4 linked regions of the Saccharomyces cerevisiae S288C genome follow. The gene in region 3 interacts genetically with the main gene of each other region. Each region holds a gene or a part of one and is shown on either strand. Other genes may lie near its edges.

Region 1 (3,206 bases), on a different chromosome or scaffold from region 3:
TCTCCAGCGGTATTATTCATTAAATCATCACAAGCAGACTCCATTTTCTTAAAAAATCTATTACAAAGAGAATTTGAGATTTCACCCGAATTGGCCACTGTTGATTTGGAAAAACACTCTCATGGCTATGAATTAGAAAAGTATATCAAACAAAATAAACTAAATATCGATACTAGTGCTGCCTTGGAATCCATTCAGTCGCCTTATTTATTTTTGAATGGTATTTCCGTGATAAATCGTGGAATGGTGAGAGATATAATCGAACCTCATTCGAAGGGATTGCTACTACCTCTTCTAAAGTCTGAAGCGCGTGGCAACTTGCTGGTAGAAAAAAAAGACATCCCTTCTAATTCTTAATTTGTTATCACTCCTATCGACGAGCAGCCGCAGCTAAAAGAACGTTTTAATTATTCCCAAATTCACGTAAGCGATCCTCTTTATGTGCTATATATACATTCATAACATAGTCATTGCATTTTCTATCATACGATTCAACTTGAACAAGTGTTTAACCATTTACGTCGTAAATGTCTACAGTATTATCTTTGGTCGTTGTTGTGGATTCATGCTTTTTTCTTTTCGAGAGCTCTTCGTTTTCAGAACTCAGCTCTTCCTTTTCGGACGACTCCCTTCGACTATTCTCCGTACTTGCTGGTTCGTAGTTAAAAAAGCATTCCCCCCACATGCAAAATATTCCTTTCATATATCCATTCTCCTTTACATATAATACTTTACATTTGGCAAATGGACCTAGTACTTTCCTCGTAGCTCGAGAAAGCTGGTTCAAATCAGAGTTCCTTGGCAAAAACATAATCACATTAGGGCTTAGTTTAAGAAAACTTTTCAACATCTTGGTAATCCCCATAGGCTTTAGATGTTGCTCTAAGTCATACACATCGTTTCTTAAGTATTCTGGACCACCCCACGGGGGTGATCCAAATACACAGTCGTACTTTATTTTGGAAAGTTTCTGCTTAGAGACTAGCTTTTTCCAGGATCCCCGCTTCAGCCATATTCTGTCGTCCACACCGTAGCTTTGGGCGTTTTTCGCAGTACAATATATGTGTTCAATACTGTAGTCCACTCCATAGACGTAAGGAAATTGCATGGCAAATTGTATGGTGTTCCCGCCCCCACCACAGAAAACATCCAGTATTCTTTCGGCATTTGGCATGCATGCCTTAACAAAATTTGCCAGGAAGCAGGCAATTCTTTCGGGCGTCACACTGAACCACAGCTCATCAGTCATATATATCGACGCCGAATCTATCTTTGAAAACAATCTACGCCTATTTTTCCAGTATTTGAAAAGTTTACCATTTTTCAACGGTTTTGATGATTCTATCTTATAGGCATCATTGTTCAATAATTTGATCAGAGTTCTAAAGTTGGAATGATGTTTTCTTTTGCGTGCCGCATGTTTTATTTTCGAAGCATGAATAAATGTCCTTCCCATCACTTCAGTTAAATCAACAAAAATTTTTTCTTCTACTTCTGTCTGTTGCCCCCACAACACGGTATATAATATGGGCAATCAATACAACGAAAAACTTACTCGCTGTTTGCGGAATAACTCACTTCCCCTTCATATAGTTTGGTGCGATGCCTTAGAATTTTTCATACATTGTTTTCATGTGGAAAATATTCAAAAAAAGCGATGGCTGGCGAAGATAAAAAAAAGGCTGCTCCAGCCATTCATTACACAGGCAATTCAATATTTCGGTTAGTAAGATAAAGAAGTCGATATGCCTATCCTTAAACATGTTCAACTGGGATAACCAGATTGCTGGGCTTTCAGCAGGTCATCAATTCTTGTACAAATATGTTGTATATATAGATTTAAGTGCTTGATAATTCGGTTGACAACTTAACGGCTTAACAAGTAAAACAAGAACAATTAACTTAACAATAGTGCTCAAATAAATTTGGCTTATTATCACAACAAATATATCATACGGAATGATCATCAGAGCTCCAATAAGGACAAAAACCAAGTCGTTTAGAGGCGATCAAATGGATTTTAAATTCCCGTCTAACGAAAGTTTACCAAGAGGAACGCTAGAAGAGTACCATTTGAATAATCATCATCTTTTAAATGATGTGTTTGCAGCAGAAAATGGAGTTTCTCGCGATGAAGACGGAAACTCTCAAACATTATCAGACTATACATCCACTTCCAATACAAATACAAATTCCGGTTATTCATCAAATGGATACTATTCATTTGCTAACATTTCTGACAATACTACGTCTTCACCACGTATTGTAATCAATCAAAATGAAACCGCTAGATTAACTTCCTCAGACTCGAACAAAAGTGACTTTTTTGCTTCTCATGACTTCCCAGGAAATGACTCTCTTCATTATAGCAGCTCAAATGTAGTTAAAAACCAGTTACATTCAATGGAAGCTATTCCAGAGGGAAACATAACTGGCTCAATCTCAACGGCATTCCAGACTATCCCAACAGCAGATAATGTTTCCTACGATATCGCGCCGTCATCAGCATCATCGTTATTACCAAGGAAATCGACATCTAAAAGCGCCATTCTGCCGTCGACCCAAGAAGCCAAACCGATGACCAAATTAAATATGGAAAAGGATATAAAAACTATCGAATTAAACAATAGCGTAGTACCGAAACCTAAAAAAAAGCTAAACAGAGTTCCGACCATAAGACGAGTTGAATCCTCGAGGTTTTCCAATTCCAGGTATAGTTCAAGTGTCAGCAGTAAATCAAGTAGCAGTCGTTGTTCTCTAAAACGATCAAAAGCTATTAGATGTAAGGGCGGACTCTTATATTATTTCACCTCATTGGGAATCAAGATAAAGAAAAAGTTACGGAAATTACGGCTAGTTTTAAGAAGAAGACTGTTTTCATATAATGTTCAAAAGGTCCCCTCCGCCACGAATTCCAAAACCACTAAATCTAAAGCAAACATTAACAACAAGTCAAAAAAAAGAGGGACGAACCTAGTCAACAAAAACAGCAACTCTACTCCGCGTCAAAAAAAATCGCAGAGATACGTCTCTAATTTACAACGGTCGATCTCATCAAAATCTTTAGTACCTGTATTGGCTCCACAAAAAAAGACTAAACCTTTGACAGTTGATACGAAATTTAAAGCAAACCATCCCCAATCTGAAGATTCCAAAGTTGGATCAAACACCCCAAGGAGCCCTTTGGTAAGCTATACTCCATCATT
Region 2 (2,991 bases), on a different chromosome or scaffold from region 3:
ATTTGCAAGCTTCGCAGTTTACACTCTCATCGTCGCTCTCATCATCGCTTCCGTTGTTGTTTTCCTTAGTAGCGTCTGCTTCCAGAGAGTATTTATCTCTTATTACCTCTAAAGGTTCTGCTTGATTTCTGACTTTGTTCGCCTCATGTGCATATTTTTCTTGGTTCTTTTGGGACAAAATATGCGTAAAGGACTTTTGTTGTTCCCTCACATTCCAGTTTAGTTGTCGACTGATACTGTTAATAAACTCATCGGGCGAGGCTTCCACGGTTGGAAAAGCATATGGGCTGGCGCATATGGTTATAAAATCACCTTTTTGCAATTCAATTCTATCTTTCCCATCAAAAGCCGCCCATGCTGGAGCCCTTGACTTCATCGAGACTTTCACTTTTAAATTTATACTTTCTGGTAAGATGATGGGTCTGAAACTCAATGCATGTGGACAAATGGGTGTTAAAGCGATTGCATTGACGGTTGGGCATACCAATGACCCACCTGCACTCAAAGAATAGGCCGTGGACCCAGTCGGAGTAGCAGCAATCAGTCCGTCCGCCTGCGCAACGGTCATTAATGAGCCGTCACCATACAATTCTAACATGGATAGAAAAGGACTTGGACCACGATCGATGGTCACTTCGTTCAAAATGTGGTGTGTGCTTAGTTTTTCCACCACACATATTTTCTTCCCCGTGTTTGGGTCTACTTCAGGGCGGTGTCTACGATAAATTGTGCACTCCAACCTCAACCGTAAATTTGTCTTGATTTTATGATTCATAATCCGAGGTAAATCCTCCCTGAAATGTTCAAACTTAAAATTTGTTAAAAATCCTAGAGACCCTAATGAAAACGACATAACGGGTGGTACATGTCTCTGAAAAATGGAACTTACAAAAAGAACAGTACCGTCGCCACCCAAAGTCACTACCAAATCGAAGAAAACATCATGTTCCCTGATGAAATCCTTTGTCCAATACTTGATCCTTGATTCTCTACATTTACTATCTTCACATAACTCGCCAGCGGCAAATTTTTTGCTGTTTTTCAATTCGGAATCCACATAAACAGTCACACGTGGAAAATGTACCAAAACCCATTCTACCAACTCTCTTGTTAAGAAATACAGTGAGACATCGTTGAGTTTCGTAACAATCATCAAATTTTCCACATCCAGTTCCACTTTGGTATTAGATATATCTTTACTCAACATTCTTACACCATACGCCGTGGAGGCATACTGAAAGTGTGTATTACTACTCTTAGAACTTCCTCTTGTTCCGTTAATGCTCGTACCACCGCCACTGTTTGCATTGCCGTTCACGAGAGATGAATCTTTATTCAACAGGGAGCTTCTGCGCGAGCTGCTTTCACTTGATATTTTCCTCAACATTTCTTTGGCGTTGTCGATATCCTGAGTTCTATCAATTTGCTCATTGTTCATCATGGCCTTCTTCATCAAGTTATTATTGTTGTTATGATGATCATTTCGACCATCTTCCTCATTTACCCATTTATCTACGCCATTATTCATGTCATTCTCCTTCATCTCAAGAGCTTTTACTCTACTTATTTAGGGAGCCTATTGTATTTTTTTTTGGCTTACGATCACGATGTCAATGATCATTTGCCCTATTATACCTTTTTCTCCGTTCTCTTTGCGTAGTGCGGTGAAATAATTTCAGGATGCATGAAAGAGCAAATAAAAGTGACACACCGTTATATCGCAAGGCGCACCACATCAGTAATCAGATACCTGTGCATTCAAAATGAGTAGAAATGTAGATAAGGCCAACTCAGTTCTGGTACGATTTCAAGAGCAGCAAGCAGAGTCGGCAGGTGGATACAAGGATTATTCACGTTACCAGAGGCCCAGGAACGTGTCTAAGGTAAAATCCATAAAAGAGGCCAACGAATGGAAGCGACAAGTAAGTAAAGAGATAAAACAAAAAAGCACAAGAATATATGATCCGTCTTTAAATGAAATGCAGATTGCGGAACTTAACGACGAACTTAATAATCTTTTCAAAGAATGGAAGAGATGGCAGTGGCACATTGACCATACACTTATGGAAAAAAAAACCAAGAGGAAAAGGTTAGAAGACAGTCATGTGCTGATGAATTCAGGAAAGCTGATAAATGGTAAGAGATATTTTGGAAGAGCCCTGGAATTGCCTGAAGTAAAAGAATGGCTCAAGCAGTCTCAAAGGCAGAATGATGGGGGTTCTATAAACACCAAATGCATACCGAAGGATAGAAATGATTTTTATTACCATGGCAAAGTCACAGCCGCCTTAACCGAATTTGAGGCTAACTGGACATCCATTTTGAAAGCACATTATAATGTGCCTGTGAATGAAGATGAAGAAGAAATGTCAAGGCAGACACAAGAAATCCATGTACCAACTCTGGCAGATATGGAGCATTGGTTAGTGCAAAGAAGAAAAAAGAAACTAATGGATGAACTTAACCTTTAGCTATGGAAAATTATTCAAACATTTAGAAGAGGCACTATTTCGAATGACCATCACAAGCATTATAATCTTCAAACATGTCCGAGCTGCAGATATGAAGTAAAATAGTGATCGGGACTCATTTTTTTTTCTTCTATGATATCATATTGTCCCGTTCGTTATTAAATGTAATTCTTCCACCGTACTAGTTATCGAAGGCAAGATCTCCTTTTTACGCTTAGGTAGATTACATAGATTTCATAATGTACACCAATACAAATGTATCTTATACACTCGTCAAATCTTATATGAATCATGCAGGAGTAGCTCTCGTTTTCTTTTTACGAGCTACTTGAAAAAAAAAAACTAGCGAAAATCCTTTGCTTAGAAATCCAGATTTAAAACAAAACCGCCGAAAAGGGAAAGATTTTATGATAGGAAATACCTTAATAATTCTATATCATCCCGAGTCTTAGGAAAATGATTAGATCTGTGAGAAGGGTTTTCATTTACGTCTCAATATTCGTATTGATAATAGTTTTGA
Region 3 (2,924 bases):
GTTTCATTTGTTTTATCTCGGCTCGTTTCCTTCAGCTGGTCAAATTTATCTTGGTCTAGTGACAACACCTCTTTGAGAACATCCATAGTTCTATGTCTTCAGCTAATTTTTTTACGCTTTTGTTGCTTATAGCTTATTCCTCTTTCCTCTCACTTGTAAAAACTCTTGATATACCTTATATTTTTTCGAACTATTCTCGGAATACGCTAATGAGAATAAAAATATTCGAATCTTTAAAAAAAATGTGGATTGCCTCACTTATATGTTTGATACGCAGTCCTATGTGTACTTAACCAGTTATAAAAATAAAATATAAATAGAAAGTATAAAGTCAAAACAAAGAAACAGTATGTTCCAAGATTTCTACTCACGGAATTTTTTCCAGTTTTTTGGCTTTACCAACCCTTGAGCATCATAATATTCCTTACCACAAGAGTAACCTTGGAAAGTGAAATCATTACCTTGGTCACATTCACAGTTGTTACTGTTATAGACCTCCTTGTCCAATGGGCAGTTATCATAAGGTGGATGATGGTAACCAATGTCTGAAAAATAATGGATTTTATCCTTTGGCAAAAACAAAGCAGCAGCAATAGAATGAACGGGAGCATCGCCCCATCTTTCGTAGAAAAATCCACCTTGATGATCCAAAGTGTCAAAATACTCTCTGTAGGCTGGTGACCTCCACAAATTCAAGTTTGCAATTTCAAAGTTTGACCAGAAATGGCACAGATTGTATGTTTTACCATTATCGTTCGAAAGAAAACTCATCAGGTTGTTTTCATCTAAGTATTCGGGGTTCTTTTTGATGAAATCCATGGACGTTTGCCATAGTGTTGGGATCGTCACTTCATATTCATGAATAGAAACGGTAAAGCCGTAAACTTTTTCGTTTTCTTGCATCCACTTAAAAACGTCGTAATTAATATCACAGTATAACTTGATGTCTGGTTCCACACGCCAGTACCAATCGTACTCTTCTAATAATTCATGTCTCCAGAAAAACCCAGATTGGTAACGACACATGTGTCTATAAGATTCGGAGCCACCGTATATGTATTTGGTGGCAGCATCTGCACGAATTTCAGCAGCCTTGGTTTGATTAATCCATTCAGGATATGACCAATGTTCCTTGGGCAAAATACCAAACTTAACTTCGGAAGAAACAGCTTTGGTGACTGCTTCCTTGAATTCTTCAGTAAAAGGTTCATCGTTTAGGAAAACCCAAGGATATGGGAATTTCTTGTTAATTTTGTTTTCCACATATTTAATGGAGCTTAGCAAACCTTTCAACTCCTTGTTTCTCACCAAAGTGACGTAACAAGCTTTTGGCTTACCAGCTTTGTTAGCAAAAGATGGAGTGATATAATCCATGGTTGTTTTAGTGTCGATCGGGGCATCTGCCTTTTCAGCGGCAGCTTTCAGAGCCTTGGATTCTTCATCCATGGCTTCGGAGTCTTCGCTTGCCTCTGAATTCAGAGCACTTTGCTCTAATTTTTTAGCATCATTTTCCTCAGAGATGACTTGTTGTTCAGGGGATATAGATCCTGAGGTAAAATCAAATGCAGCGGAGATGGAACTCGGAATATATTGCTGAGTTCTACTGTTGGAATTCAATGTTAGGAGGAGAACAATAACCGCACCTGCAATGACGGTAAATCTCAACAGTCTCTTACTGAGAAAGAGGGCCATGCTTTCGAGTGGAACTGCTTGCGAATATGGATATCACTTCCAGTATTATAGATTCATAAAATGTATAAACGAATTAAATCGCAAATTATCTCCTTTTCAGACTGTTTCTTCACCAAATTTCTTTTTTTTTTCCTACTAGAAGAAGGCGTAGCAGATAAGAAGGAAAAATTATATTAAGCGTGCGGGTAAAGGCAAGGAAGAATCAAGTAAGACCTCAAGAATGGCACTATAAGTGTGGTATTATAATCTGTGTAATCCTAATTTGAGCTCTACACAATACCATTCGACGGTTAACAGCTACTGCATCACCGTCCAGTCATGTCGTACAACGGAATAGGGCTCAAGTCGGCAAAAGGGTCATCTACGTCGGGCCACGTGCAGCGATCACTTGCTAGCAACAATAGGCGCAGACCACAGGGTAGTCAACAGCAGCGGCAACAACGACAAAATGCGATCAAAAAGGCCAGCCATGACAAGGCAAGCAGGCCTCTTGCTGTGCAGAAACAGATAGAGACTCATATGGAGAAACGTGAGATTGAAGTACAAGTTAGCGAGCTACGGGACCGACTGGAGGAGGAAGAAACGCTCTCGGAAGAGCAGATTGACAAGAAATGTGAAGCGTTGAGGGCAAAACTGACGAACGAGTGGCAAGAACAGCAGCGGATGTCCTCTTTGTACACCCCTCGTAAGGCGCGTCTAACGGAAGAGCAGCATCGACATGAATAGCAGCATTGACGATAGCGATAAGCTTCGCGCGTAGAGGAAAAGTAAAGGGATTTTAGTATATAAAGAAAGAAGTGTATCTAAACGTTTATATTTTTTCGTGCTCCACATTTTGCCAGCAAGTGGCTACATAAACATTTACATATCAGCATACGGGACATTATTTGAACGCGCATTAGCAGCATGATGACTCACACATTACCAAGCGAACAGACACGTCTTGTTCCTGGATCTGACTCGAGCTCTCGTCCTAAAAAGAGACGGATCTCGAAGAGATCAAAGATAATAGTATCCACTGTGGTCTGTATTGGTTTGTTGCTGGTTTTAGTGCAACTGGCATTTCCAAGCAGTTTTGCATTACGTTCTGCATCACACAAGAAGAAGAATGTCATATTCTTCGTGACGGATGGGATGGGACCTGCGTCTTTGTCCATGGCAAGATCATTCAACCAGCATGTTAATGATTTACCTATAGACGACATCCTGACACTTGACGAGCATTTTATCGG
Region 4 (2,919 bases), on a different chromosome or scaffold from region 3:
CTTATAAATAATATGTATGAATAAACTCTATAGTATGTATCAAGAGAGAAATATGTGAATGACGAGCAAACTAGAGGTGTTATTAATAATAATGGCATAAAAACTAGATTTTATTCTATATATATATATATATATTTCTTCGACTTTTTTTTTTTTTACCCGCACACCCTGAATTTTGTGCTATTTTGAAGCAGAGCGTACTGAACAAATTGGCAGATTTACAAGAGGAATAACAGAGTTATGCTAAATCATTAAGTGTTTCTTGCGGCCAGAAGGGGCATTATACAAAAGATATGGTTGTTGATACTGAGTATTACGATTTGTTAGGTGTGTCTACCACTGCATCTTCCATTGAAATAAAAAAGGCCTATAGAAAGAAATCTATTCAAGAGCATCCTGATAAGAATCCCAATGACCCCACGGCTACCGAAAGGTTTCAAGCAATATCCGAAGCTTATCAAGTTTTAGGTGACGATGATCTTCGCGCAAAGTATGATAAGTATGGAAGAAAAGAAGCTATTCCTCAGGGCGGCTTTGAAGATGCAGCTGAACAGTTCTCTGTCATCTTTGGTGGAGATGCGTTTGCCTCATATATTGGCGAACTGATGCTATTAAAGAACCTACAGAAAACTGAGGAGCTAAATGCTGAAGACGAAGCTGAAAAGGAGAAGGAGAATGTGGAAACAATGGAAGAATCACCTGCAGACGGTAAGACGAATGGCACCACTAACGCTGTTGATGCAGCATTGGGCAATACTAACGAAAAAGATGACAAAAATAAGGCGAGGACAACTTCTGGTAATTTAACTGTACACGATGGAAACAAGAAAAATGAGCAGGTAGGAGCAGAAGCTAAGAAGAAGAAGACAAAATTAGAGCAGTTTGAGGAAGAACAAGAGGTAGAAAAGCAAAAAAGAGTAGACCAATTAAGCAAAACATTGATTGAAAGATTATCGATATTAACAGAAAGTGTCTATGATGATGCATGTAAAGATTCCTTTAAAAAAAAGTTCGAAGAGGAAGCCAATCTTTTAAAGATGGAATCATTTGGTCTGGACATATTACACACAATAGGCGACGTTTACTACGAAAAAGCTGAAATTTTTCTTGCATCCCAGAACCTGTTCGGAATGGGTGGTATATTTCATTCTATGAAGGCTAAAGGGGGAGTATTTATGGATACACTAAGAACTGTTTCGGCAGCCATAGACGCTCAGAATACTATGAAGGAGCTTGAAAAAATGAAAGAAGCTAGCACGAATAATGAGCCTTTGTTTGACAAAGACGGAAATGAGCAAATTAAGCCAACCACTGAGGAACTGGCGCAGCAAGAGCAGCTATTGATGGGCAAAGTATTGTCGGCTGCTTGGCATGGTTCTAAATATGAAATAACATCCACTTTACGTGGCGTTTGTAAAAAAGTACTAGAAGATGACTCGGTAAGTAAGAAAACGCTTATCAGAAGAGCTGAAGCAATGAAACTATTGGGTGAAGTCTTTAAGAAAACTTTCAGAACCAAAGTCGAACAAGAAGAGGCACAGATCTTTGAAGAACTTGTAGCAGAAGCTACAAAAAAGAAGAGACATACATGAAGTTAGCAATCATCTCTTGTATATTAAAAATTCAAAAATTCACTTTTTTTTATTATCTGTATTCAATATAATATAATGTATATAAGATCACACTAATACTGATAATTCTATTCTTGAAAGAAAGACAATAGAACAATAAAGAAGTGATTGAACTCAGTGACAATGATAATTTATGTGATAAGGAAGTGGTTATGGCTGGAGAATTATGCCACACTTAAATGATAAGCTCTTTTACCTTTCTGGGTTTAGGAATTTTTTGAGATTAATACAGATAAAAAAAAATAGGCCGAACATTAATTACTCATACAACTCAAAAAGTGCAGCGTGCAATTCTAGATCAAGAACATAGATAATATAAACAAAATAACAATGAACAAAATTCAGCAAATCAACGATAAAGAACTACAAAGTGGAATTCTTAGCCCGCATCAATCATGGCATAATGAATATAAGGATAATGCTTATATATATATCGGAAATCTCAACCGAGAATTAACAGAAGGTGACATATTGACAGTCTTTTCTGAATATGGAGTCCCTGTAGATGTAATTCTTAGCAGGGATGAAAACACAGGAGAATCGCAAGGTTTTGCATATTTGAAATATGAGGATCAACGGTCAACGATTCTAGCAGTCGATAATTTAAATGGATTTAAAATTGGCGGTAGAGCCCTCAAAATTGATCATACTTTTTATAGGCCAAAAAGGAGTTTACAAAAATACTATGAAGCTGTAAAGGAAGAATTGGATCGAGATATAGTTTCGAAGAACAATGCTGAGAAACTCATTTTGGCTAAAAAGGACCAACCAAATTAAATAATTTTTTCTTTCATCGCATATCTTATATTCATATAGCCTAGAAAAAAATAATCAATATCATATTTGTAATTCTACATCCTTTCAGAAATTAGTATACATACGTATCTATAGAAAGCAAATTAAATCTTCATGGAAGGGGTGGGGGTGGAGGAATACCTGCAGGTGGAATTGATGGGATACCTGCAGTAGAAACTGGTTGTGCCCCTTCTTCCTCTTCATCTGTACCAACTGATTCAGGAATCGATAAAACGTCATCATCAGAATCGGATCCATATGCGCCCGTGCCTTTTTCAGCACCATTGTAGTTATCAACGTGAGCGATAATAGGTTCTGAAGTGGAAGCTTGTTGAGTTGGTAAAGGTGGGGGTGGAGGCAAAACGCCTCCAGCTAAAGCTGGGGTGGAAGAACCCGATTTTTGCACGGCAGTAGCTATTGCAGGTGCTGAGGGAATTGGAGGTTCTTGAAAGCCATCAACAGCAGGCAAAGGGGGAGCCAACGGGACGGGTGG

The links.
Region 1: mutations in CWC21 (region 3) and TGS1 together harm fitness more than expected from each alone (negative genetic interaction), as found in Saccharomyces cerevisiae (4 studies listed by BioGRID, with this or other methods).
Region 2: mutations in CWC21 (region 3) and ISY1 together harm fitness more than expected from each alone (negative genetic interaction), as found in Saccharomyces cerevisiae (6 studies listed by BioGRID, with this or other methods).
Region 4: mutations in CWC21 (region 3) and IST3 together harm fitness more than expected from each alone (negative genetic interaction), as found in Saccharomyces cerevisiae (5 studies listed by BioGRID, with this or other methods).

Annotation. Positions count from the first base shown.
Region 1 is NC_001148.4:253,064-256,269, reverse strand, and holds TGS1 (RNA methyltransferase), read right to left. Parts: upstream 1,457-3,206; coding exon 509-1,456; downstream 1-508. Other genes in the region: pheromone-regulated protein PRM4, read left to right, coding at 1-357; AIM44 (Aim44p), read left to right, coding at 1,960-3,206. UniProt on the Saccharomyces cerevisiae protein: Catalyzes the two serial methylation steps for the conversion of the 7-monomethylguanosine (m(7)G) caps of snRNAs and snoRNAs to a 2,2,7-trimethylguanosine (m(2,2,7)G) cap structure.
Region 2 is NC_001142.9:526,934-529,924, forward strand, and holds ISY1 (Isy1p), read left to right. Parts: upstream 1-1,763; coding exon 1,764-2,471; downstream 2,472-2,991. Other genes in the region: UTR1 (NADH/NAD(+) kinase), read right to left, coding at 1-1,543; OSM1 (fumarate reductase), read left to right, coding at 2,928-2,991. UniProt on the Saccharomyces cerevisiae protein: Involved in pre-mRNA splicing and cell cycle control.
Region 3 is NC_001136.10:1,419,925-1,422,848, reverse strand, and holds CWC21 (U2-type spliceosomal complex subunit CWC21), read left to right. Parts: upstream 1-2,010; coding exon 2,011-2,418; downstream 2,419-2,924. Other genes in the region: VPS52 (Vps52p), read right to left, coding at 1-86; alpha-1,2-mannosyltransferase KRE2, read right to left, coding at 364-1,692; alkaline phosphatase PHO8, read left to right, coding at 2,599-2,924. UniProt on the Saccharomyces cerevisiae protein: Involved in pre-mRNA splicing. May function at or prior to the first catalytic step of splicing at the catalytic center of the spliceosome, together with ISY1. May do so by stabilizing the catalytic center or the position of the RNA substrate.
Region 4 is NC_001141.2:362,928-365,846, forward strand, and holds IST3 (U2 snRNP complex subunit IST3), read left to right. Parts: upstream 1-1,961; coding exon 1,962-2,408; downstream 2,409-2,919. Other genes in the region: DJP1 (Djp1p), read left to right, coding at 294-1,592; actin cytoskeleton-regulatory complex protein PAN1, read right to left, coding at 2,539-2,919. UniProt on the Saccharomyces cerevisiae protein: Required for pre-mRNA splicing and spliceosome assembly. As part of the pre-mRNA retention and splicing (RES) complex, required for nuclear pre-mRNA retention and efficient splicing. Required for MER1-activated splicing.